Rattus norvegicus: one gene and its partners. The protein of the gene in region 6 interacts with the protein of the main gene of each other region in a pairwise test. Links are inferred from orthologs where the notes say so. Each region holds a gene or a part of one and is shown on either strand. Other genes may lie near its edges.

Region 1 (3,500 bases), on a different chromosome or scaffold from region 6:
AAACGTGCAATCCAAAATTGTTGCCATAAGCCAAGAGATTTGCAAAGGTGATCTGACGTGAAATCCAACTAATGTAGTATACGATGTCATTAGCATAGCAAACCCCACAATGAATACAGAAAAGGGCCTTTAATAATATCCAACACCTTTTTATCAAACAACAATAAGTAAAATCCTTCACCGGGTGAGAGCGGCCTACCTGAGGTCACTCACAGGTGGGGTGGAGAGAGATCTAATGCCATATTCCGATAGGGAAAGACTAGTTAATTATTTTCTCTGTAAGGCCAGGAAGCATACAAGGATTTCTGCTTTTTACATTGCACTGGATGTTCTAACCATGGCAATTAAGAAAGACAGGGAATTTGGACAAGTAATAGTATAATTATTAAGACCGCATTATCTGCCCATCAAAACAGTTGACACAAAATATGCTTAGAACCCAGTAAGAGTTTCAGGACTAGAGACAGCTGAGTGTAGAGTGCTTGTCTTGCATTTTAACAGCCCTAGGTTCAATCCCTGCACCACAAAAAACAACCAACTTAGCAAGGTTGTTGGATACTAAGTCAAGGCCCAGAATCCAACTGTTTTCTGAACTCTTGGAATGAGTACATCAAAAACGAAACAGCTACATGTACAATACCATCAAAACCTACAGGAAAAACAACAAGGGGGAGACTACGTGTTGAAAGTATGGGTCATTGTTAAAAACTGAAGACCTAAACAAATGTGAGAACACACCACGTTCCTGAAGGAAGACTGACCCCTACATGACTGAATTCTCCAAACTGATCTACAGATTTTCACGTGACTTTTATGACAGTGACAACTTGATTCTAAAACTTTTATGGAATTCCAAGGGACTCAGAATAACTAAAATAATCAAAAATAAAATAAAATTAGGACTCGTATTTTCCAGTTTCAAAATTTATAGAAAAGCAAGAGTCATTGAGAGTGTAAAGGTCTACGTATGATGGACAAAGATCAACATAGTCAAATAGACGGTCTTGACATAACCCATGTGTCCACTACATGACATAACCATGTGTCTGCTAACACAAACATGCCAAAACCATTCATTCAGTGGGGAGATGGGGCTTAAATAGTGGTGTGGTGGCCAGAAAGCAACACAAAAAGAGTGAAGCTGGACTTGGATCTCATACCACATCTAACGATGAGTCAGGAACTCTGGAATGCAGACTCTTCTAGAATCTTCTAGACAAGGTAAAGCCTCACGATACTGGATCTCAAATTTGGCAATGAATTCTCAGGGCAAAAACTCCCTCCCCCTCCAAACATATAGTAAATCTTTTTTAAGTACTAATGGGAAACTAGAGGAATTAAGAACTTTATATATTAAATAGGGATATAAACATGTGAACCATACTCTGAGAAGTAGCCTGGCAGTTCCTTTGTGTTTAAACATACAGTTCCCATATGATCCACAGATCCATTTCTAGGCATTTACTCTGAGGGAAACGGAAGCCTGTGTCTACACAAATTTCACCCACAATGTATACAACAGTGCTGTTCACAACTGTGAGGAACAACCCACATGTCTATTAATTGATGGATAAAAATTACTGCCCAATGTCTATAAGCTGGATTGTTCTAAAGCTCTGCTGACAGCACATATTTGGGATATGAGACTCGGTGAGTGGTTATCTAAAAATGTTCTAGGGAACAAAGGGGCATCATTGGCTTTCCAGTACTAAAAATAGTACTTACCTTTGCCATCACGTAAATGGCACACATTAACAACTGGTCCAGATGTCTGTCCATCATAAGTTCAGGACACTGGACTATAGAGAATTCAAAGCAGGTCCAAATTTTTTTCCTCAGTTCATCTGAAATATCTAGTTTTGTGCAAAGGTCTCGAAGGCGGACACCAGCTAAGTAGTAAACCTAACAGAGAGATAAGAATATTTCAAACCGGGGTTGGGGATTTAGCTCAGTGGTAGAGCGCTTGCATAGCAAGCACAAGGCCCTGGGTTTGGTCCTCAGCTCCGGAAAAAAAACAAAAAAAACAAAAACAAAAACAAAAAGAATATTTCAAACCTTGTTTAATGCTTACACTTCCTGAGCCTGTGCTCCAGTAAGGGTACATGAAAGGTTACCTTTCTAAAGAAAAGTGATAAGGAGCTAGTCTTCCGAGGCCTGATACTGCTGCTGGTTAACGGCTGGCCTTGGTTCTGCTGTTGTCCTCCAGGGGAAATTTGTTGAATGGCCACCGGACCGGGGACTTGCAAAGTTGTTCCTGTCACCTGTTGGGAACTCAGACTTCCAGCCAGCGCTTGAGCACTGAGGGGCTGGATAGAGCCAGTCACAGCCTGTGCCTGGCCCCCAACATTCACTTGGACTGGGAAGAATGTTATCCCTCCATTTTCGTTGGCAATACCTGCGGTTTATTACAAAGAAGAAAGAATGGTCGACATGAAGGTTTTATTTCCCCCCGCCCCCCGTCTTCCATCATTATCTTACATTGACACTTCCCAAACTTAGGTGACTTTCTGACAAATGCCAGAGAACTCAACCCCTAACCCTGCCTTCCTTACCTTGTACTGGAATGGTCACTGTTTGTCCATTGTTGGCTGTGACAGTGGCTGTTGCCATGGTGACCAAGGTCTGTCCAGGAACTGGTGTGACAGAAACAGTCTCCCCAGATACATTCTGCACAGGGACAGCATTGACTAGGGGTTGTGGGGGGATGCGCCCAGCCGTGCTTCCTTCAGAGGGACTGTCACTCTCAAATAGCCGCCTTCTAGTAGTACTGACTGTTGGGGAACTGTACCTGTCATACAATGTGGTTGGAGATGTCACACCTACGATCAAAAGAAATCAGACTATTTAACAAAGAGACAGTTCTGACTTCTAGCTAAGCTCTTGTTCAAAAGAAATTCAGTGTGTTTCAAATACTTCATAATTTTAAAAGCAAATAAAAAGTACAGAAGTCATGGTACACCCATATTCATCCTAGCAGGAATGTAACTGAAAGCGTTTCATGAAGGAAATGCTATGTCCCACAGTGCTCTCTTTCTGGTTTTCTTCCCATAAATGAAGCGAGGCCCTGTCCTCAACCGCCTTGTCCCTTGCTGACTTTGATGAAGAGGCCGGTTAAGGAATCACTTACTTTCCCCCATACTCAAGTCTTTTTTTTTTTTTTTTTGGTTCTTTTTTTTTTTTTTTTTTTGGAGCTGGGGACCGAACCCAGGGCCTTGTGCTTCCTAGGCTAGCGCTCTGCCACTGAGCCAAATCCCCAACCCCTCCATACTCAAGTCTTAACAAAGATGTTACCTAGCAGGAGACAGGATGACCTGCCTGCCATCCTGCGTCCTGTGGTTTCTCCTCAGCCTTCAGTGAATGTTCAGCCTTTTTCCGCAAGGGAAGATGACCAACCCCATATTCTTCAGCAAGATAGACATGTATGGTTTAGATTTAAAACTTAGTTTTAAACAGCTTTATTGAGACATGACTCATGTACCATACATTTCACCCAATGGCTT
Region 2 (4,278 bases), on a different chromosome or scaffold from region 6:
GAGGGGGGTTGGGAATTTAGTTCAGTGGTAGAGCGCTTGCCTAGCAAGCGCAAGGCCCTGGGTTCGGTCCCCAGCTCCGAAAAAAAGGAAAAAAAAAAAAAAAAAAAGCAAGCACGGGAGGCATCCGGGTGTGGTAGCACATGATGCGTGTACTCGAAAGTCTGAGGCACAGGAGCCCCAGGAGTTCGAGGTCAGCCTGAGCTCTACAGTAAAGTGCTGGGTGGGTCTCAGAGAACGCAAGCCGGATGATGGCACGTGTTCATCATGACAGCACTTGGGAGGAGGAGTTCAATGTCATCTTGATAGCAAGTTCAAAGCCACTGACAGCTACAGGACCCTGGCTAAAAATAAGCAAATAAATTAAGAAAACAAGAAAAAGGACCAGAGATGGCTTAGTCAGTATAAACACTTACGGTGTAAACTCACTGATCTAAGCTAAATCTGGACTCATAAAACAGGATTCAGTGAGTTTGCCCCAGTGCTGCCATGGGGAGACGAGAAACAGAATCTTCTAGAAGTGTGCAGGCCAATCAGCATTCAGAAGCAGAAATCAGAAAGGTGGAAAGTGCCGGACATGGTGTCCTTAGTCCCAAGGCCACCCTGGTCTATAGCAGGAGTGCCAGGACTCAGCAAAACAAACCGGTGGAAAGCAAGATTGACCACTTCAGGTTGTCCTTGGACCGCCACCCTTGCCCTCACACTCATAAAACAAAATGAATTTAAAAGAATAAAATAGGGCTGGAGAGTTGGCTCAGAGGTTAGGAGCACTGGCTGTTCTTCCAGAGGTCCTGAGTTCAAATCCCAGCAACAACATGGTGGCTCACAACCATCTGTAATGGGATCGAATGCCCTCTTCTGGTGTGTCTGAAGGCAGCGACAGTGTACTTGTATATAATAAATAAATCTTTAAAAAATAATAAAATGTTTATGCCAGGTAGGCACGGCAGCCTGCCTGGCACTCCAGTCTCTGAAGATGTTACCACAGGGATGCCAAGAGCAAGCTGGTTAGCCAGACAAGCTGTGTTGGTGAATTCTGGGCTCTGACTCTGAATAAAGTGGAAGAATGATTGAAGATGACTGGTTGATATCAACCTCAAGCCACATGCATGTGTGCACACACAGCCCCTACACACACACACACACACACACACACACACACACACACACACACACACACTCATGAATATGGGTAAAGAAAAAAAATGGAAGAAGGCTGCCTCCAACCCAGAGGAAGATGCATGGTGCGGAAGAGCTTGAGCTATGTGATTACAGCAGAGCTCAAAGCAAACAGACCTGACCTAAGCTGATCTGGACCCAAGGCTGGGCCATAAGGGCTCAACAGTGGTTTACCTAAGCCAGGGATGTGATGGGGTAAAGCACATGAGCTGAGGGCCAGCGGAACTAACAAAATGGATGTTCATTTACAATAATCTGTCAAGAAACAGAGAATCGTTTATTACCCTGTATGTTTTTGGAATGGATTAAAAACAAAACAAAACAAAACAACCCCACTCAGACCCTTAGTTTACACACAAAGAGAAGTCACACCCTGCAGCTTGCCCCAGGCACCTCTGCACCAGGTTCCCTATCCAGAGTGGCTTTCTGCTAGCTAGCTCCTGGCATGAGGGTGGGGACAGACACTCACAGTTTCAGGACGGCCAGGTTGGCTTCTAGATCATAGGCATTCTCCTTGGCCTGTGTCTCCACATACCGCTCCAAGGTAGCCAAGTTCTCGGGATTGTACCTGGTAGGGTGTTAAGATGGGTGAGTACCCTGGCATGGTGGATACATGCCATTCATCCCAGTACCTAGGAGGCTGAGGTAGGACAGGAGGATTGCAAGTTTGAAGCTAGTCTGGGATTTATAGTGAAAACCTGTCTCAAAAAAGGAAGATAACTAGACAGACAGACATGGGTAAACAGAAGAGAACAACAGAGGCCAGTCCCATTATAGGACTTAGGGACCACTGTAATTTGTTAACCTGAACTCACTCTCTTCCTTCCGGCAGCTTTGATTCTAGCCATGTGGTATTCCTTTCTTTATTATTCTTTTTAATAAAGCTACATTCATTCGATCTTAAATAATTTAGTCCCATCCACTGAAACTACCTAGATAGCTGATCAACTGTACTACCTCCAGTAAGTCTTGTTCACAACATGGACCTCTGGTTAGCCCTACTTGAGCCCCGGGTCGTGTCTAAGATGCCTCCAACCGCAGCCAGTCTCTGCAGCCCCTATGTGTTCCTGAATACCTTCTCTTGGATTCCGTTCTGACCCAGTTCCACTCTCTCCTGCCTAGGTCAATACGTGGCTTGCCCTGGCCAGGCCCTGATCTCTCCTTACTGTCACTATCTGTTAAAAGGGGTTGTCGCCGGGATGGAATGGGAACCTAGGTCCAGGAACGCAGGACCTGTGGCTGTTTCCATCACCTCCGGTTCCCACTGGCCAAATAGAAATCAGTGAACATTATGTAGGATGGCCCACAAGAAGGACAGAGGAGGAAGAAACTAAGAAACATCGAGAGTCTGTGGCAGCAGAAAAGGTAAAGTTGAGGGACAAAGCTAAACTTGGAAAAACTCCGCCTCTGGAAGAGCGTGAAGCCCTAGCCACCCAGGGCTGGCTTCCCGTCTTCTCCACCCCGCTTGATCAGAGCGCGCCCTCCAGCCGAGCTCAGACCTGTCGATACCCTTGAGCAACTTGCCCACGTTTGCTCTCATCTGCTCAAACATCGCCATGACCACTGTCGCCTTCTGCAGCCCCAGCTGGAGTCGAACACCAGTTACGGTACTAAGTACTCAAGGACCGGAAGAAAAAGAAACGTGGTGGAAGCGGAATTACGTCACACCCTCTCTCTAGTTCCTACAAGGAAGGCATAGGGAAAGGCGCTTCCGGCAGCCGCGCCGGTTTTTTTTTTTTTTTGCTACCACATGATTTCCTGCTAGCAGTTGTAATTTGCGCATGCGCATTGGTCACACCTAAAAGAGACCAATACCGTGAGAAAGGTATAGTCTGCCTTACTACGCAGGCGCCAGGAGGCGGGCTAAGCTTTTCCCGGGCCGCACGAACCTTAAGCTTCCGATGCGCGTGCGCTGGAGTTGTACGGGAAAAGGAGACATAGTTCTCTGCACGCATGCGTAGCCATAAATCCCTATAGCCGCTTGAAGGCGTCCATTCTTTTCTTTGCGTTTAGTCGGGTGGGAGATGCTCTCTGAAGCCCTTCTTGTCTCCGACTTGGGTGCCTAAGATAGCATCCCGTATCCTCACTTCCTCGTTAAGTTCCAAACCCTTGTCCCCACTCGCATTCCGTGATGCTACAGTGCTCTCTGCTAGGAAGCTGGGAAGGCAAATGATACCAGCACCCGGAGGGACTACCGTGGTACAATGGAGTCTCAATCAGGCTCCGCGTAGGGACTGCTAACAAGTGTTCCACGTCTGCCACAGATTCCGTACACTTTTGAAGCGATGCAGAGACATGTGCCATGTGGGCAGGTGCCCTGAGCCCAGCTGTCACTTAGGTCACACGCATGTGTCACGAGTAAACAGTCCTCTGCTACTCATCCAGCTTTGTGCAGACCTGCGACCTCTGGCTTGACTCCAAATCTTCAAGTACTCAGCAGAGGTTCAACTGTAACCTGTGACTCCTCCCAAAATAGGAGAGTGTTGGGGAGAGGGAGCTAGGTCAGCCCAAGGTTGCATTTAAGAACTTTTGCATCTTATTTACATAGTGTCCTTCAGGGAGTAAAGGGGAGTCCCATCAGTCCCAAGGCGATCAAACTCTCAGAACCCAGGGGACGGGGGTGGAGCCCTCTGCGGAGCCCTCTGCACAGCCCTGCAGCTGGGGCAGGAAGCGAGAGTGGGGAGGGGGAAGGCCACAGCCCACAGAGTCAAGGCGGGCCCAGGACTTGTGGAGACAGAGGGTAATACCAAAGCTTGAGCCCTGAGGCCCTGTTGGCCCACTGGGCACTGGCCCAGCCCCGGCCTCCAGGGATGGCCCTTGTGGACCCTGACATCTTTAATAAGGACCCTCGAGAACACTATGATCTACTGCAGCGACTGGGTGGTGGAACGTATGGAGAAGTGTTCAAGGTGAGAAAGCCCTTCTGTCTCCTCCACCATCAAACCTGGGAGAGCTGGGTGAGGCCGACAAACAGGACTGTAAAGGAATGCCAGGCTTTGGCCTTGGTTCAGAGATGCTGGGGATGGCAAGCTATGGTGCCTGCCTGATGGCCAACTTCCCCTTTACAAGGCTCGCGACAAGGTGTCTAAGGACCTAGTGGCT
Region 3 (4,046 bases), on a different chromosome or scaffold from region 6:
TTTGGTTTATTCTCCGTTGTCTTTATGACTACCCCCAGACTCAGTCTCCCCAGTCCCCTCTCAAAGACAGACACACAGGCCACAGGAAAGTCTGCATTTTATTTGAGCCCACAACCCCTGGAGGATCAGCCCCCACCAGATGCAACCCTTCCCCCACACCTTCACAAAACACTGATTCTCTCACAGAGCTAAAATGACACCCTAGTTACCAACTACAGCCACCCCTTCCTGTCCCTAGGCCAGTATAGCCTTCTATTCTGAGGACTTGGTTCCCTTTCCTCGGCTGGCTTCTCACTTGTATTCTAAGTCCTCTCCTTAAAACCCTCCCTCCCTGACTAGGTTCTCATGTGCACAATCATCCAGAGTGGCTTCCTGCCTAATGTCCATGCCAGGCCTGGCAGCCTCCCCCCGACACCCAACTAGGACTACCTGCAAAAACACACTTGTTTTAAGACTCCAGAGACCAGGGATCAGGCTGGCTCCTCTGATTCCCTGAGGGCCTTGGTTTCTCAGTTGCACTGAAGGGGTACAGAAACTGACTATGCCAAATAACCCATAATGGGGATAGGCAGAGGGGAGACCTAGACACGGATGCACAGGGAAGTGAAATGGAGGGACAGGGTGAAGCTGGAGGCACAGGTACACCAGAACTGCCTCCTCCTGTACCCTAGGCACTGCGGGTCCTCTGGCTTCGTGCCTTATACACCTCAATTAGCAGATCCTTCACATACTGGATCTCCCGTTCCACTGACTCTGCCCTCTCCCTCAGCTCCCGATTCCGCGCCTCTAGCCCTTGGCACTCGCCCTCCAGGGCCTCGCCCTCTGCCCGCTTCCTCTGGCGGTACCTGAGAGCAGCTGACTTATTCTGGTCTCTCTTCTTTTGCTTGCGGTCCCCTCGGGTGCTGGCAGGACTAGGATAGGGGGCTGGTCGGGAGGGTGAAGGCAGAGGGGCCAGAGGAGGAGGCTGCTGGGGGACAGGCAGGGTTGTCAAGCCTGAATCCCCTGGCCCAGCCTCACTGCGGCAGTAAACAGCTAGCAAGTCCAGGGTATCCAGGGTAGGAGGCTGCGGGAGATCAAAGGTGGGCAAGGGTAAGGGCAGGGGCAGAGAGGGTGCTGGGGGTGGGGGTGGAGGTGGGGAGGGCGGTGGAAGGAGTGGGGCATCAAGGAAGAAGTCTTCCATCTGTTCTAGCTCCTTCTTGAGTAGGGATGCCATGGCTTCCAGGTCAGGGGGGGCAGGGGAGGGTGGGGGGAGAGTGCCTGGGGGCAGAGGGGCCTCCAGAGGAAGGAGGGCTGTGAAGTCCACCCGCTCGGTCATCCAATCAGAGAAGCCGTCACCTGAGGATGTGGGGGGAGGACATAAAAATCTCTAAGGTCTGTGCTTTATCCACTTGGTGTTCATTCATGCCCCATTCACTCAATGTGACAAGTGACCAGCCAGCCAACCATCCAATCTATAGACCTGTCAGCAACCAGTGAGTTAGGGAAGAAACTAATCAACCAATCAACCAACCAGCTAGCTAGTTTACCCATCAAGCCACTAACTAATGAACTAACCAACCAGCCAGCCAGCCAGCCAATCATACCTAGTTCATCAGCCAACCACCCAACAAATCATTAATCAATGAACAAGACAGCCAGCCAATCATCCAATCAGTTCACCAGGCCACCTGCTAATAAACTAATCAACTCATTAGCCAATCAATGAACAAGCCAACCAATGATTCAAATCAGTCAACCAACCGATTAATTGACCAACTAACCGATGAAATAATCAGTCAGCCACTCAGTGAAGCACTCGCCCAACTAATGGCCCACCCGACGAAGGTCAGCTCCCATCTCTATAATCCTTCTCCTTGACCAGGTTGGTCGACTGCACCCCACACTAGTGTCTCCTCTCTTTCCCTCACTTGTTTACTTATCTATTGTCGACAGAGTCTTGTGTAGACTAGGATAGCCTTGGACCTGTTCTGTAGTCTGTAGCTGAGGACAACCCTTAAACTTCTGACTCTCTCCCAGAGTGCTGGGATTATACTCACACACTTTCTCTCCTCCCTCCCCCCTCTGTGTGTTTGCGTGTGTGGGCGTGACTCTCTCCATCTTTATTTGCTCTCCTTTTGTGTTTCTCAGATGTTTGACAACTATGTTCTTACCAGGCTGCCTAGGTTGGCCTGGGCTCAAGAGGATGAGAAGCCTCTAACAGGGGAAGTTATGGACATAAGCCACCAGGCACAGTCTAGGACAACCATCTGTTGACTGCCTGCCTCAGAATCTCTGAGATAGCGCTCCCCTCAGGACTTATCATGGCTCCCTTTGCCCATCCCTTAGCCCTCAATCCAGAGGTTGTCTACTTAGAGAAGGCTGACTTCTCAACCATGTCTTCCTTTCAGCTAAGCTTTGGCTTCCCACCTCTGTCTCCTGATGCTTCCACGAGCTTTGGTATCCCTTGCTCTGCACCTTGCACATGAAGAACAGGGCTGGGCACACTGCAGGCCCTCTGTACTGATCTTGTGAATGAATAAATCCTTCCTTTTCTGTCCTTCCACACCCCGCCACCTTAACCCACCTCTCTTTTTCACCTGTTTCTTACCTGCCAGGGGCTCTCCCCCCCCTGGAAGCCCGCCCTCCAGGGCACCCCCAAGGACCTCATAGGGGCCCAGGGGGGCAGGGGCCAGGGGGAGTTTCCCATAGTCTACGAGCCAGCCCAGCCCGCTAGCTGGGAGCAGGGCCCTGTCCAGCTCCAGTCCCAGGGTCGCCAGGAGTGACATGGCTGAGGCACAGGTGCAGGGCTGCGATGGCAATGGAGGCTGCACCAACAACTGGGAGGCAGCGTGGAAGATTGTTCAGCTGGGTGAAGACAGGCACCAAGGCGAAGGTGGAGGGCCTGTGAGGAAGACAAGGTGGCGTGGGTGGGGTTGAGTCAAAGCTGCTTGACCCACAAGCTACCCACACTTTTCTTCTTTCTGCAAATTCCAGAGCTCCATACATTCCCAAGGCAACTTTTGGAAACTCCCCAGCCCCATCTCCTCCCTCAACACAGAAACCTAGTGTTCTCCCAGGGGAATTACTTCCAGCCCCTCCTACCTACCTCATCTTATTGCTCTTCGTAAAAAAATTCAATCCCAAGGTAATTTTATTTTCTTCTAGCCGTGCCCCTTCCGCATCAATATTTTCTTTAGACTATACGCCCTTTAGAGTTCACAGGGGTTCCCAGAATAATTCTGCCATGCCTTGGGCCCTTCATCAGTGTTACACACACAAATCCCACTCTTCCCTTAAAAGTTTTAGGTGACTTCTACAGATTCTACGGGAAGCCCCGCCCACACTCCTGTCTGTCAAGTCAGTTCCCGCCCCCAACTAGCAAGTCCCTAGAGGCCCCGCCCCTTGGTTCTAGCTCCAAGTCTTTCTTAAAGGTGTTCTTTAGCCTTCCCTGTCAATCTAAGCCAGTCCCCGCCCCAGCAGGTGCCTGATTGGAGGGAAGTTGGACCAGTGTCAGAGCCTCGAGGAACTCCACCCTTCCTCGCTGATTGCTCGCTAAGCCGCAAGACGAAAGCTCAGACCCTGGACCGGATTCATTGTTACGCCACTACCCTCCTGGGGGGACCAGTGCGTGTGTTTAGCCAATTACCGGCCGCCCTCCGTAGTTCAGGCCGGGAATAAGGTAATGCGCATGCGCAATAGAGTGTGGGTTCGTATCCTCTGAGGGGAAAGGAGGAAGAGGGTCTGTGAATTAGTGCGCAGGCGCAATGGCGCGCGAACCGACCTTAAAAGCCCCCAGACTCTGCGGAAGCACACCCTCCCCCACGCCTGGAGCCTAGTGCGCTTGCTCAGCGGATGCGCCGGCCACCGACTTCCCTCTTCTGCGCCTGCGCGACCGTGGTTCCTCATATCGTCTTCCCCACCCCCTCCCCACGAGGCTGACCCGTGAAGCCCCGCGAGCTCTGTGAAAGGGCGGGAAAGGCGGTTGGAGAGGGAGGGGCGAGCGGTTACTCACTCCATGGCTGCGAAAAGGAGAGGAGGCAACGGCGGCGGCGGCCTCAGTTGAAGAG
Region 4 (4,175 bases), on a different chromosome or scaffold from region 6:
TTAGGTCTCTACCCTGGTAGGTCTTTATTTGCACAATCCCTGCCCCTCCCAAAACCGAGGAGCAGATTCTCAGCAGAGGAAGGTACAGGTGAAAACGGGGTGACCCTGGGCTTAAACTTTTCTGACTTTAAATTCCTCAACTGTCAAAAAAATAGCTTTTTCTAATTGTCCTATGGCTCCATGTTTAAGAATTTAGGGTACACAAGGCCAAGTACACATTCATGTTTTCTGGAAACTTTTATTTTTTTTAGATAAAAGCAAACACAATGAAAGAAAGAGCCACAGCCTAGCAGGGCGGGGCATGGTGGTGGACACCTTTTGGGAGGCAGAGGCAGGGGGATGTCTGAGTTCAAGCTCACCAGCCTGGTCTACAGGGTGAGTTCCAGAACAGCCAGGAATATACGGAGAAACCCTGACTCAAAAAAACCATTAAAAAAAAAAAAAAAGCCAGGACATAGTGAAACCCATTATTACATGCAGGCGATATATACAAATAAAAAAGAAAAAGCCCAAACTGGGCTTGAACAAAGTTTCCTGCACCAGACTCTCTCTGCAATGTCCCAGGTCTCTTTTTTTTTTTTTTTTTTTTTTTTTTTTGTTCTTTTTTTCGGAGCTGGGGACCGAACCCAGGGCCTTGCGCTTCCTAGGTAAGCGCTCTACCACTGAGCTAAATCCCCAGCCCCCCCAGGTCTCTTTCAAGGGAAAGCTCTGCTGTCCTGAAGGAAGGAAGGGGGAAGAAAGGATGGTACTGTCCCACCCCCTCTCTGACATCATCCAAAGGCCTTCCCACTCAGCCTCTGTGTATTTAGAGTCTCTGTGTCCTCATATACTTTCCCTTCCCTGTCCCCACCCTCTAGTTATGAAGGAGAGCGTCCCTCTGCTGGGATGACCAGAAGGTAGGGGCACCAACCTCTCTAAGCCTGGTGACATGATGGAGAACTAGCCCTTCAGGGTGCTACAGGGGACAAGACACTGCCACTGTGCTAGGTCCCACCCCACCCCCATATACTCACACAAATACTCATGCATCTTATAGCTCTGGGTTCCTGAGAAGAAAACTGGACACTTCACTCAGCGCCAAAGCTGACTCACCCAGTCTCAACTGAAAGACCTGCTGTGTTTGCAGTGATTATCATGGTGAGCCCTGAGACTCCTCCATAAAATGGACCCTGAACGGAACTGTGGAGTCTTCGGAGGCTGTGTTCAGAAGAACCCCACCTCCCTTAGTCCTTGGTGCCTGCAGAGCTGGGGTCCTGGCTCAGCTGACCTTGGCTGACATAGGCAGTTTGTGTAACAACGGGTCTGTTTGCAATCTACCCCCTAGCAAGTCGCGTGGCTCAGAGAGACCCTGCAGGGAGGACAAACATTCTGAAGGCAGACAATAGGGTTGGGCCTTTCTCTCCGGCTGGAACCTGGGGGTGATGCCAGCCTCCCACATCCACTGGGGAGAGGGGCCAGAATTCAGAGCAAATGGGGGAAGGAATGGTAATAGATTTTCTGAAAATTTCTGTTCTTAGATCTTTAATTTCGCAAGGGCGGAGCAGGAAAAGTGGATATGACTCTAAGAATCATTGCGGTTAGCTGACACAAAGAACTAACAGCAAGGAAAGATGAGAACGGAGGCCCTACTGCCCTCACGGCATTCTTTTTAGCTCCAGATTCACTTTTGTATAGTTCCTAGCTCTTCAAGGATATCCCCTGTTTCCCTCCAACCCGGGCTCCCCTCCACTGCAGAAATGGAAGGCGTCTTGACCCTTAGGTTCTAGGGTAGTTTCCACAGCCTGGGGCGGTTAACTCCATCTCTCCTCAGATGTCTCTCCTGCCCTATACCTTCTAGCCCAGTCCCATCCTAGAAGGTAAACGAAGTTGGGCAGGGAAAGTCTGGGTGGATTCTGTGTTCCCACCCTTGGCTAACAGCCAAGTTGCGCAGGGTGCAGCTGGTCCGTGGCTAGGAGGGAGGCAATCCTAGACTTTCGGAAATGGGGATTGGTGTTTCACACGACGACATTTGTTGAAATCCAAGAAAGTGGTAATTGTCCGGAGCGGGTTTTAGGGCTTTGGAGCCGGTTGCTGTAGGAAAATATTTGTCTCACAGGTGGCGGTGGGGTGGGGAGACTGGAGTGGGAAGTGCAAGGTGTGGGGGAGGGTCTGGGAGGTGAAGTGGTGGACCACCTGGTGGGCGGAGCCAAGCGTTGAGGGTAATGGACCTGTCGCCCGGATTGGGTTACTGTTAGGGTACGTGGAAAGAGCTTGGAATGTCTCCTAAGGGCTCCCTGCCTGAATACTGGATTCTCAAAGCTCAGAGCCAGGTGTCCTGGTCAGCAGGTCCAGGCGCCGAGGCTAGTCAAACCCTCCTGAGACTAACCTCGTGCTCTTGGTTTTTACTTGATTCACAGGCTCTGAGTCACCGTTGAAGCTGGCACCGGTGGGAGCCCAGCCTCAGAAAGTAGGATTTAAGTCTTGGGCCTAGTGCCCTAGGACCCAGGGTATCCGGCACGCCCCTTTTCTGGGATGCAGACTCCCAGGCACCCACTCCCTGATTCGGCCTCCTTTCGTTTATTCGGCCTCAGTTCTAAAGACCCCAGCGCCCTTTTTGCCCCCCTTCCCAACTCATGAAAACCTCCTTACCCAGAGCTTTTAGCATTTCTTCAAAGTTTTCCGATCGGATGATCTTCCAGTTGCCAGAAAAGTTAGGCATAGTGGCAGCAAGGTGGCTTTCTCTTTAGATCTTCAACTAGAATACTGGACGCCGAGTCCTTTAGCCTAAAGGTACCTTGCTGTCCCCTTTGCAGAACAGATCCTTCCACCTGGGGACCAAGCCGCGTGGAGGACAATTGCACAGCCGCTGGGCGCCAGAGCTCTAGGCTTTTATACCCAGCTGGTGCATGAGACGGCCCCGCCCCCGCCCCGCCTTCCGCACCACCTGGGGGCCCTGCTCTGTGACCACTTCACCCCCATCCTTTCCGGAATCCCGCCTGTTTCTAGAACTGTGGGTGGGTCCAGGGTTCTCTAAGGGCCAAGATACCCTTCTCCCGCATCAGTAGGCGGATGGGGAAGCATCAGAAGACAAGAACGAGGTTTGTGCCTCTGGCAAGCCCAGGGCACAGTTAGCCTGCCTGGGTCATGGTTGCTCCGGTCTCTCGGCCTGCAGGGCGAACACAGGTCCCATTTCACCAGCCCTCTACTAGTCCTCTACCAGACTCGGTGCTCTGAACAGCTCGGCGCCAGACATCTGGAGACCCCACTCATGCAAGAATTGGGGCCCCCGGCAACCAGCAGTCGAAATGGACCCAATGGAACAGCACGGAAGTCAAGCGTTCCTTTGGGTGACTGGGAGGTGCCGCTCTGTTCTCTACCCCTTGACTCAGCCCTGGGTTCGAGCAGTGCCTGGGGACGCCTGAAGTGAGCACAAGGCAACTCATTCATTCCTCTCCAAGCATTGGACGGACAATGAAGGGTTAAGCAGGAGCCCCCGGCTCGAGGCTAGAAGGGCAGAGGTCACAGCCAATCACTTGACAAGACTCTTTATTAAGGCGCTTTCTCGGTGGCTACGCTTCCCTGGGCCCCCTGGGCCACGAGGGGGGAAAAGACGCCAATCGCTCCCCGCCCCGCCCCCCCCCCCACTCCGCATGCCGCGGTGCCACTGGCGTTGGGGGAAGGCTGGCTGTGCAGGGAAGGGGTGGGTCTGAGATGTCCCGGTTCAGAGTTTAAAGTGCGGCGGGCCAGCCTCTCCGAGGGTGATTTTTTTTAAGTGGGTGAGACCCTAGTGGAAAGGCGGAGAGACAGGAGCAGAAAGGACAGGCGAGACCTCGGAGGCATGCCGGTAACCCAAAGCCAGAAACCACGCCGCCGCTCTATGCTGCAGCTAGAAGCGATTGCCCTTGCTTGGGCGTTTGCCCCCAGCCTCCCGGGGCCCTCCCTGTAGTCCCCTCAGGATCTCAAATAGGATCCCCGCCTAGCCCCTCCTTGTCTAGGTGGCCAAGGTTGGAGCAGGCAGCCCTGACCTGTGAATTGGGGACTGACAGGCTTTGGTGGAGGGTCGAACTGAGCTGAGGACAGGGCCTGGAGGATTAACCTCAACCAGAGGCCAGTGTCATGCGAATCAGGCCTACATCGAGGCAATCCCAACAATGGAGTGTGGAAAACTTGAAAGGATGAGGGAGGAAGGCTACCTC
Region 5 (2,594 bases), on a different chromosome or scaffold from region 6:
GGAGGCTCGGAGGCCCATTTGGGCAGCTGTTGGTCTTCTCCCATCCCATTCTATTGGGCGGACAAGGTAGCTCTCATTGGTGTGTGTGTGTGTGGGGGGCACTGCTGCCAAGATGACTCCCGGGATACTCCTGGTGGTCAAATTGGGAGGTCGTGTGAGGCCAGAGGACCTGCTTTCTTGGGTAGGTGGTAAAACACTGGCGGGGTAAGGGATGGAGACAGGGCTATGGATTTCCTGAAAGTTGGGGACAACTTGGTCCTGACACATCTAATAGCTATAGAGGAGAGGTCCCAACAGCTCCAGGCTTCAGAACCCTCAGCTTGATGACCAAGATAGATGGACCTTCATTCATTGTTCTGCTGGGAGGCTGACTTTCTCTGTTCTTCATTACTTGGGCCCTGTATTCTATCTCCTGGGGCCTTTCCAATGGTGGTTTCTAGGTCCCTGGTTCTGGGCATGGGGAAGAAGCCCCCTGTACCACAGGTACTGGCCCTGGGGAATTCCCATGGCAAAACCTCAAAGGTGGGAACTGCAGGGCTGGGTGAGTGCTCCTTGGTTCGTGTGGTAGTGTATTTGGTCATCTTGGCAGTGAGTGAGCCCCGTGAGTATAAAGGCAGAGGAAGGAGGCCCCTCAGTGACCTACTCCCCCGGGTCAGAATAACACAGACAGGCGGCAGGATGAGACGGGACACAGTAGGGATGATGGGTAGGTTGTGTACCCTTCGCAGGCAGGGGCCAGATTTCTCACCAGGCTTTGGGCAGGTAGGGCTGGAGTGAGGGGAGGTGCAGGTACCTGTCCCTGAGGAGTGAATGCGTCTCTTCTGCCTGCCTCCCTTGACACAAGCAGCAGCCCCTTGTGGTGGAGGCATCCCCTAGGCAGAGTTCTGCCTTCAGCCCCTGCCCTCTATCCCCAATTGAGTTCCTTTGTCAGATAAACAGCAGCCTCTCCTAACTGAGGTCTCAAGAGACAGGAGCAACTCGAGGTCTACAGGAAAGGGAGACCAGGTGTTAGGCTGGGCAGGAGAAAGGATGAGGCAGACAGACAGAGGCCATGGCAGAGGAAGGACTGAACTCCAGAAAGGGCAGGAGGCACTGCTGGGCTGCAACCAGCCCAGGGCCTGGGCACAGGGCTCTGGAGGAGCGGCCCTACCCAGGCACCACTGTGGGCCACCCTGGTCAGGAGATCTCATTGCCGAACACCTCCAGCACAAGGGGTGTGAGCTTCATGCTATTCTCGGGCTGGAAGGAGAGGGAGCGGTATTGTTTGGAGTGTTCCTCGTTGAGGCTCCGCAGGTCGGCCAGTTTCTGGATCATCTTGGCATAGAGCTGGTGGCTGCCTGGGGGCGGGTGGCGGCAGCGGATGTAGGTCTGCAGCGTGTTGGATAGGCGGTCCTGAATGGCTTCCACCAGCTTGGCGTCCTGGACCCCAGGTCGGTCTGTGTCCCAGGGGATGGAGGGAGACAGGATGTTCACTGTTCAGTTTCACAGAATCCACCATCACCCAGGTACCCCATGCCAGCATCCCCCTGATGACATCCCCTGCATTTGGGACCAAATCCTTTCGCGGGCTCATTTGGTCCTGTTCCCACCTCACCCTACTTCTTCTGTCTCTAGGTTCAGTCCTTGCTTTGGAACTCAGGTACTTCCTACTCTGGCTAACAGACCTCCCCGTTGCCTGGAAATCAGCTCTCGTCTTTCCCCCCTGACCAACCGGTTATCACGGAACAGGCGCAAAGCGCTTTCTGAAGAAGGTCGTTCCTGGTAACCCTCCATCTCCACGCCCCCGTGACCTATACCAGGATCTCTCCGGCAGCATCTTCATATTCAACATTCTCGTAATATTTTGTTTTCCTTTAACTCTCATGGGAGAGAAGTCTATCCTTTTTACTGCAACTCCCTGTGCCTAGCCCAGTGTCTGGCCATAGTAGATGCTCAGTTAATCATTACTGAGCGTGTGAATAAGTGAACACACGTCAGCTAGACAGCAGGAGGGAGGCATATGTCTGTCCTTTGGGCCTTCAGACTAGGCATTCCTGGCCATAGGCCACTAGTTTGTCCCCTGTGCACACATGGTCCAGGCTGAGTCAGGGCTCTGTTCTTTGGGTTTTATCACCAATTTCTTCAAGATCACAACAACTTCCTTCTCAGTGTCTCCTCCCTTTGGGTTACAGCCTCCAGCCTCCAAAGTCAACTCAGGCAGAAGCATATATTAGTCCCCAAGGATTTGTGCCTGCATCGGAGGAACTCAGGAGACTGGAAAGTTCATCCGAGGTCACGCAAGAACAGAGCCTGAGTATTAGGAACACCCAAGTCCCATGAATAAGCTGTGGAACCCTGCTCATCTGGTTCCTCAGAATCCTATGAATCACCTTGGCCTGCATAAGACAAAGCCACATGTGTCAAGCGACCCCTCCACAGGCCTTCTGGGCTGTGCAAACCCAGCAAAGTGAACATTTCCTTGTCACTTCTCTCGTTCATTCCTCCCCCAGACTTCCCTGCTGGCTCTGAGAAGCTCTCTGTCATTCACAGTCCCCAACGTGTCCCAGGTCCCTCAGCTCCTCCCTGCCAGGCTCCGTACCCGGGGAGACAATGCA
Region 6 (3,680 bases):
GAGTAGGGCTGCGATTTTCATGTCTGGAGATGGGGGAGGGTGTCCACCTAGCCTCAGTGAGGACCACGCATAGTCTTCATTGCCTTTTGGGTGCTGCTCCCTCAGAGGCTGGATGCTAGCTAGCAGAGCCCTGGGTGCGAAATTCAGGCTTCCTTGCCTTACTTCTGGCTCTAGTCCAGGCTGTTTCTGTGGGGTCCTGTAAGACGCCTGGGGCTGACACCTAGGTCATCAGACAAAGAGAGGGACAGCTGTTGCTGGGGGGCCTGGAAGAGGTTGGGTGGGGCTGTCATTTTTACCTCAGTGAGGAGTCAAACCCATGAGTTCCTTCCTGAAATAAAACAATGAAGAAATCCTCCTGTGTGCAACTCGGAAGTGCAACTCAGGCCAGGTCTAGGAACTTCAGATGAGTAGACAGGGGTTGGGGCTCCTCGCCTCCTCCTCCTCCTCGGACCTCTCCATGGTTATGTAGGTTTCTCAGGGGTCATCTGGATTCATCCTGTTTGGCTTGGACTCCCTCGTCCTGAGACAGGACCCACCCATAATGTCCCACAAAGGGGGTGTGGGTTGGGTTGGGCCACCTCCCCTTCGAGGAACCTTAGGAGTGGCCTCATGCTCGTTCTGTTTAAGAGACCTGGCTGCGATGCAGGGTTGGAAGAGATTTCCGAAGCCTGTGGAATTTAGAGTTGGTCTGTTTCAACCCACACCAGCCTCAAATTCATGGGAGGATTAAGAGGGATAGATAACCCATGTCATCCTAGCACCCAGTAACATCAATGGATGCTGACGTGTTTGCCCCCAGATCTTCCCTGCCCCGAACTCATTCCGCAGCACCAGCCCCTGAAGCCAGAGGCAGAACTGTGAGCCTTCTGTCAAATTCTCTTGCCCCTTTGCCAGTCACTGACTCCATGTTCGTTCTCTATCCCCCAGGAATGGGAGGTGCTGGTCCTGGGGAAGCTCAAGTGGGACCTGGCTGCTGTGATTGCGCACGACTTCCTGGCCCTGATTCTGCACCGCCTCTCTCTGCCCAGTGACCGGCAGGCACTGGTCAAAAAGCATGCTCAGACCTTTTTGGCCCTCTGTGCCACAGGTAAAAGCCAACCTGGGGAACTTGTGGTTTTGTTTGGAAGGATAGGTAGTAGCCGGGAGATTGCTTCAATACTCAGAGCTGTGTACGGTGATAATAGTGAGAGGTTACTTGCCTAAGGTCTTCATACCAGGGTTTTAGATAGTCTGTAGTTCCTGACCAGGCGCAACTTGGGTAGATGGAAAGTTTGCTCACATCTCAGAGAAGGTTGGGCTGGGGTAGTGGTTCCGTGATAGTGTGCATGTCTTGGTCAAATTGCCAGCACCATGCGCACACTGAACGCTCTCCTCCCTAGGATCTGCCATTTCCCCATGGCTCTGTCACCCCGTCCACCCCTGGGGATTCCCAGTCTGCTGTATCCATGCAGCCTGGCGTGTAGTAAGGTGTGGTAGGATGTGTAAGATGCCTCTCTTCTCATGGTTCCCTCTCTTTTACAAGATTACACCTTTGCGATGTACCCTCCATCCATGATCGCCACGGGCAGCATCGGGGCTGCAGTGCTAGGCCTGGGTGCCTGCTCTATGTCTGCAGATGAGCTCACAGAGCTGCTGGCGGGAATCACAGGCACTGAAGTGGTAAGTCTCAGGCCCCACTCACAAAAACAGTGCTATTCCCCTGAATCCCCAGCAGAGGGCAGCATCCATCTCCCAACTCCGATTGTATGCCCTTGCCGGCTTCTCTGGCCTTTTATCTCCTGCTCCAGTCTGGAGAGGAGTGGGTGGGGTGACGGACACTTGCATGTAGATGCCCCCCTCTTGGCAAGTGCTGTGCCGCGGCCAGGGGTGGGGGACTTGGTGTCAGATGCAGGGTTGCTCTCACACCCTTGCCACATCCTCTTGCCAGTTTCTGAGAACTAAAGCCCTGATTCCTGGGCTGGGCTGTGGCCTAACCTCCCCAGACTTCACGGTGTGCAGGGGGAGGTCATTCCCTTCTACCTGCCTGTTGTCAGTACTGTGGCCAAGAGTCCCATCAATGGATGATGACCTTGTTTTTTCTTCCTAGGACTGCCTGCGTGCCTGCCAGGAGCAGATCGAAGCTGCCCTCAGGGAGAGCCTCAGGGAAGCTGCTCAGACAGCCCCCAGCCCCGTGCCCAAAGCCCCCCGGGGCTCTAGCAGCCAGGGGCCCAGTCAGACCAGCACTCCCACAGATGTCACAGCCATCCACCTGTAGCTTGGGACAGGCCCCCTCAGGTGGCCACCAAGCAGAGGAGGGGCCCCTGCCACCCCCTCCCTGCCTCTAGGAACAATTCATGCCATATCTGAAGCCCGAGGGGGGCTCTTTTTCCCCTCACAAAGCCCAAGGGGCCAGGTCCTGCCTATCCCCACAGTGTGCACTAAGGGGCTGCTTGGTCATGAGGGTGTCTACATGGCCAGTCAGTTCCTCTTCCTTCCCACTCAACCAGCTTGGCTGTCCTGGGCCATGATGGTCAGAGAGATACAAACAGGTAGAACCCACACACCAGCATTTCTTTTGAGTCCCTCCTCTGTCTGGGGCGCCGATCCTTTCAGTTGCCAAAACGCCCCAGTACCTTCCAAAGGTGTTGTTGCCCCTCGCAGGGTCACTGCATTTGGATCTGGGTCCTTCAGAAATCCCGATAGACGCCTATGAGGAGCCAACCTAGATGGCTGCTGTGTAATCCTACTCCAGCTGCTCTTAGCGGGAACAGCCTAGGCCTTGGCTAGAAGAGCAAGCGCCCGTAAACTGTTGCTTTGCTTCCTGCTATGCTTCTGTGGTTGAGGGTCTTGAGGGTGCTGATGGTCATTTTAATTTATTGCTTTGAATACAACCGTAAGAGGGTACAGTGAGGCCTGTACCCCACAAGTGGTGGTAACCCTGGCGGTTGCTCTTTCCCTCCCCTCTGCTACCGCTTTGTGGCCCAGGAGCTGCTACAGCCTGGGAGGGGGTCCTGCCTTCCTCTCCGTAGCCCTCCAGCTCATCTTCAGCGGGGAGGGTTTAATAGGGATGGATGCCGTGGAGGTGACTGGACTATCCGGAGAGAGGGCGAGCCCCATGGACACAGGTCTTTCCTCAGGCCACAAGGTTTGGGCTGGTGGCCCATTTCTATCATGCTGCCTTAATAAAGATTTCAGAATAAAGCTGGCTCTTGTGATCCCTGGGTTGTAGAGCTGGGAGGCACAAATGAGAGGTCTCAGGCAGAATAAGTACCTTTTCTGGGGAGGGTCAGGAAGGAACTGCTTAGGCTGCATAGGCTGCTTTACCTGGGCACACACACAGATTATAGAGCTGAGGAGTAGCCACCGTAACCCAGAGGGCTCATGGGAAACAGGGATGCAGTTTTATGTAAAACCATACAAAATGCTATACTCCAGCATGGTGGCAAACTTCCCTGGCACACTCAGGGCAGAGGGAGAGGTTCTGGGCTAACCTATGCTACACAGCAAAATCCTGCTGCAAATAAAACCAAACCCCTAGGACCAGATGGGTGGCTCGGCAGCTGAGAGCACTGGCTACTCTTGAGAACCTGGATTTAATTCTCAGCATTTAACTGCAACCATTTTTAACTCCAGTCTTGGGATGTGATGCTGTGCAGGCACAATGCTCAGAATGCATTAAAACCGGATGAATGGGGTTAGGG

What was found.
Region 1: the proteins of Ccnd3 (region 6) and Rbl2 interact in a two-hybrid assay, tested with the Homo sapiens proteins (2 studies listed by BioGRID). The link is inferred for Rattus norvegicus from reciprocal best matches to the Homo sapiens genes CCND3 and RBL2.
Region 2: the proteins of Ccnd3 (region 6) and Eif3k interact in a two-hybrid assay, tested with the Homo sapiens proteins (2 studies listed by BioGRID and IntAct). The link is inferred for Rattus norvegicus from reciprocal best matches to the Homo sapiens genes CCND3 and EIF3K.
Region 3: the proteins of Ccnd3 (region 6) and Atf5 interact in a two-hybrid assay, tested with the Homo sapiens proteins (2 studies listed by BioGRID and IntAct). The link is inferred for Rattus norvegicus from reciprocal best matches to the Homo sapiens genes CCND3 and ATF5.
Region 4: the proteins of Ccnd3 (region 6) and Crabp2 interact in binary tests that used the Homo sapiens proteins (3 or more experiments, as listed by UniProt). The link is inferred for Rattus norvegicus from reciprocal best matches to the Homo sapiens genes CCND3 and CRABP2.
Region 5: the proteins of Ccnd3 (region 6) and Vdr interact in a two-hybrid assay, tested with the Homo sapiens proteins (2 studies listed by BioGRID and IntAct). The link is inferred for Rattus norvegicus from reciprocal best matches to the Homo sapiens genes CCND3 and VDR.

What each region holds. Positions count from the first base shown.
Region 1 is NC_086037.1:32,061,912-32,065,411, forward strand, and holds part of Rbl2 (retinoblastoma-like protein 2), read right to left. Parts: intron 2,820-3,500; coding exon 2,553-2,819; intron 2,396-2,552; coding exon 2,115-2,395; intron 1,903-2,114; coding exon 1,726-1,902; intron 1-1,725. UniProt on the Homo sapiens protein: Key regulator of entry into cell division. Directly involved in heterochromatin formation by maintaining overall chromatin structure and, in particular, that of constitutive heterochromatin by stabilizing histone methylation.
Region 2 is NC_086019.1:93,394,688-93,398,965, forward strand, and holds the start of Eif3k (eukaryotic translation initiation factor 3 subunit K), read right to left. Parts: upstream 2,801-4,278; 5' UTR 2,735-2,800; coding exon 2,676-2,734; intron 1,745-2,675; coding exon 1,646-1,744; intron 1-1,645. Other genes in the region: Map4k1 (mitogen-activated protein kinase kinase kinase kinase 1), read left to right, coding at 3,987-4,085, 4,246-4,278. UniProt on the Homo sapiens protein: Component of the eukaryotic translation initiation factor 3 (eIF-3) complex, which is required for several steps in the initiation of protein synthesis.
Region 3 is NC_086019.1:104,432,014-104,436,059, forward strand, and holds Atf5 (cyclic AMP-dependent transcription factor ATF-5), read right to left. Parts: upstream 2,783-4,046; 5' UTR 2,766-2,782; coding exon 2,588-2,765; intron 1,336-2,587; coding exon 668-1,335; 3' UTR 501-667; downstream 1-500.
Region 4 is NC_086020.1:175,713,487-175,717,661, reverse strand, and holds the start of Crabp2 (cellular retinoic acid-binding protein 2), read right to left. Parts: upstream 2,801-4,175; 5' UTR 2,699-2,800; coding exon 2,629-2,698; intron 1-2,628. UniProt on the Homo sapiens protein: Transports retinoic acid to the nucleus. Regulates the access of retinoic acid to the nuclear retinoic acid receptors.
Region 5 is NC_086025.1:130,866,570-130,869,163, forward strand, and holds the end of Vdr (vitamin D3 receptor), read right to left. Parts: coding exon 2,579-2,594; exon of another isoform or gene 1,615-2,578; intron 1,437-1,614; coding exon 1,177-1,436; 3' UTR 501-1,176; downstream 1-500.
Region 6 is NC_086027.1:20,891,196-20,894,875, reverse strand, and holds the end of Ccnd3 (G1/S-specific cyclin-D3), read left to right. Parts: intron 1-927; coding exon 928-1,087; intron 1,088-1,522; coding exon 1,523-1,659; intron 1,660-2,086; coding exon 2,087-2,254; 3' UTR 2,255-3,180; downstream 3,181-3,680. UniProt on the Homo sapiens protein: Regulatory component of the cyclin D3-CDK4 (DC) complex that phosphorylates and inhibits members of the retinoblastoma (RB) protein family including RB1 and regulates the cell-cycle during G(1)/S transition.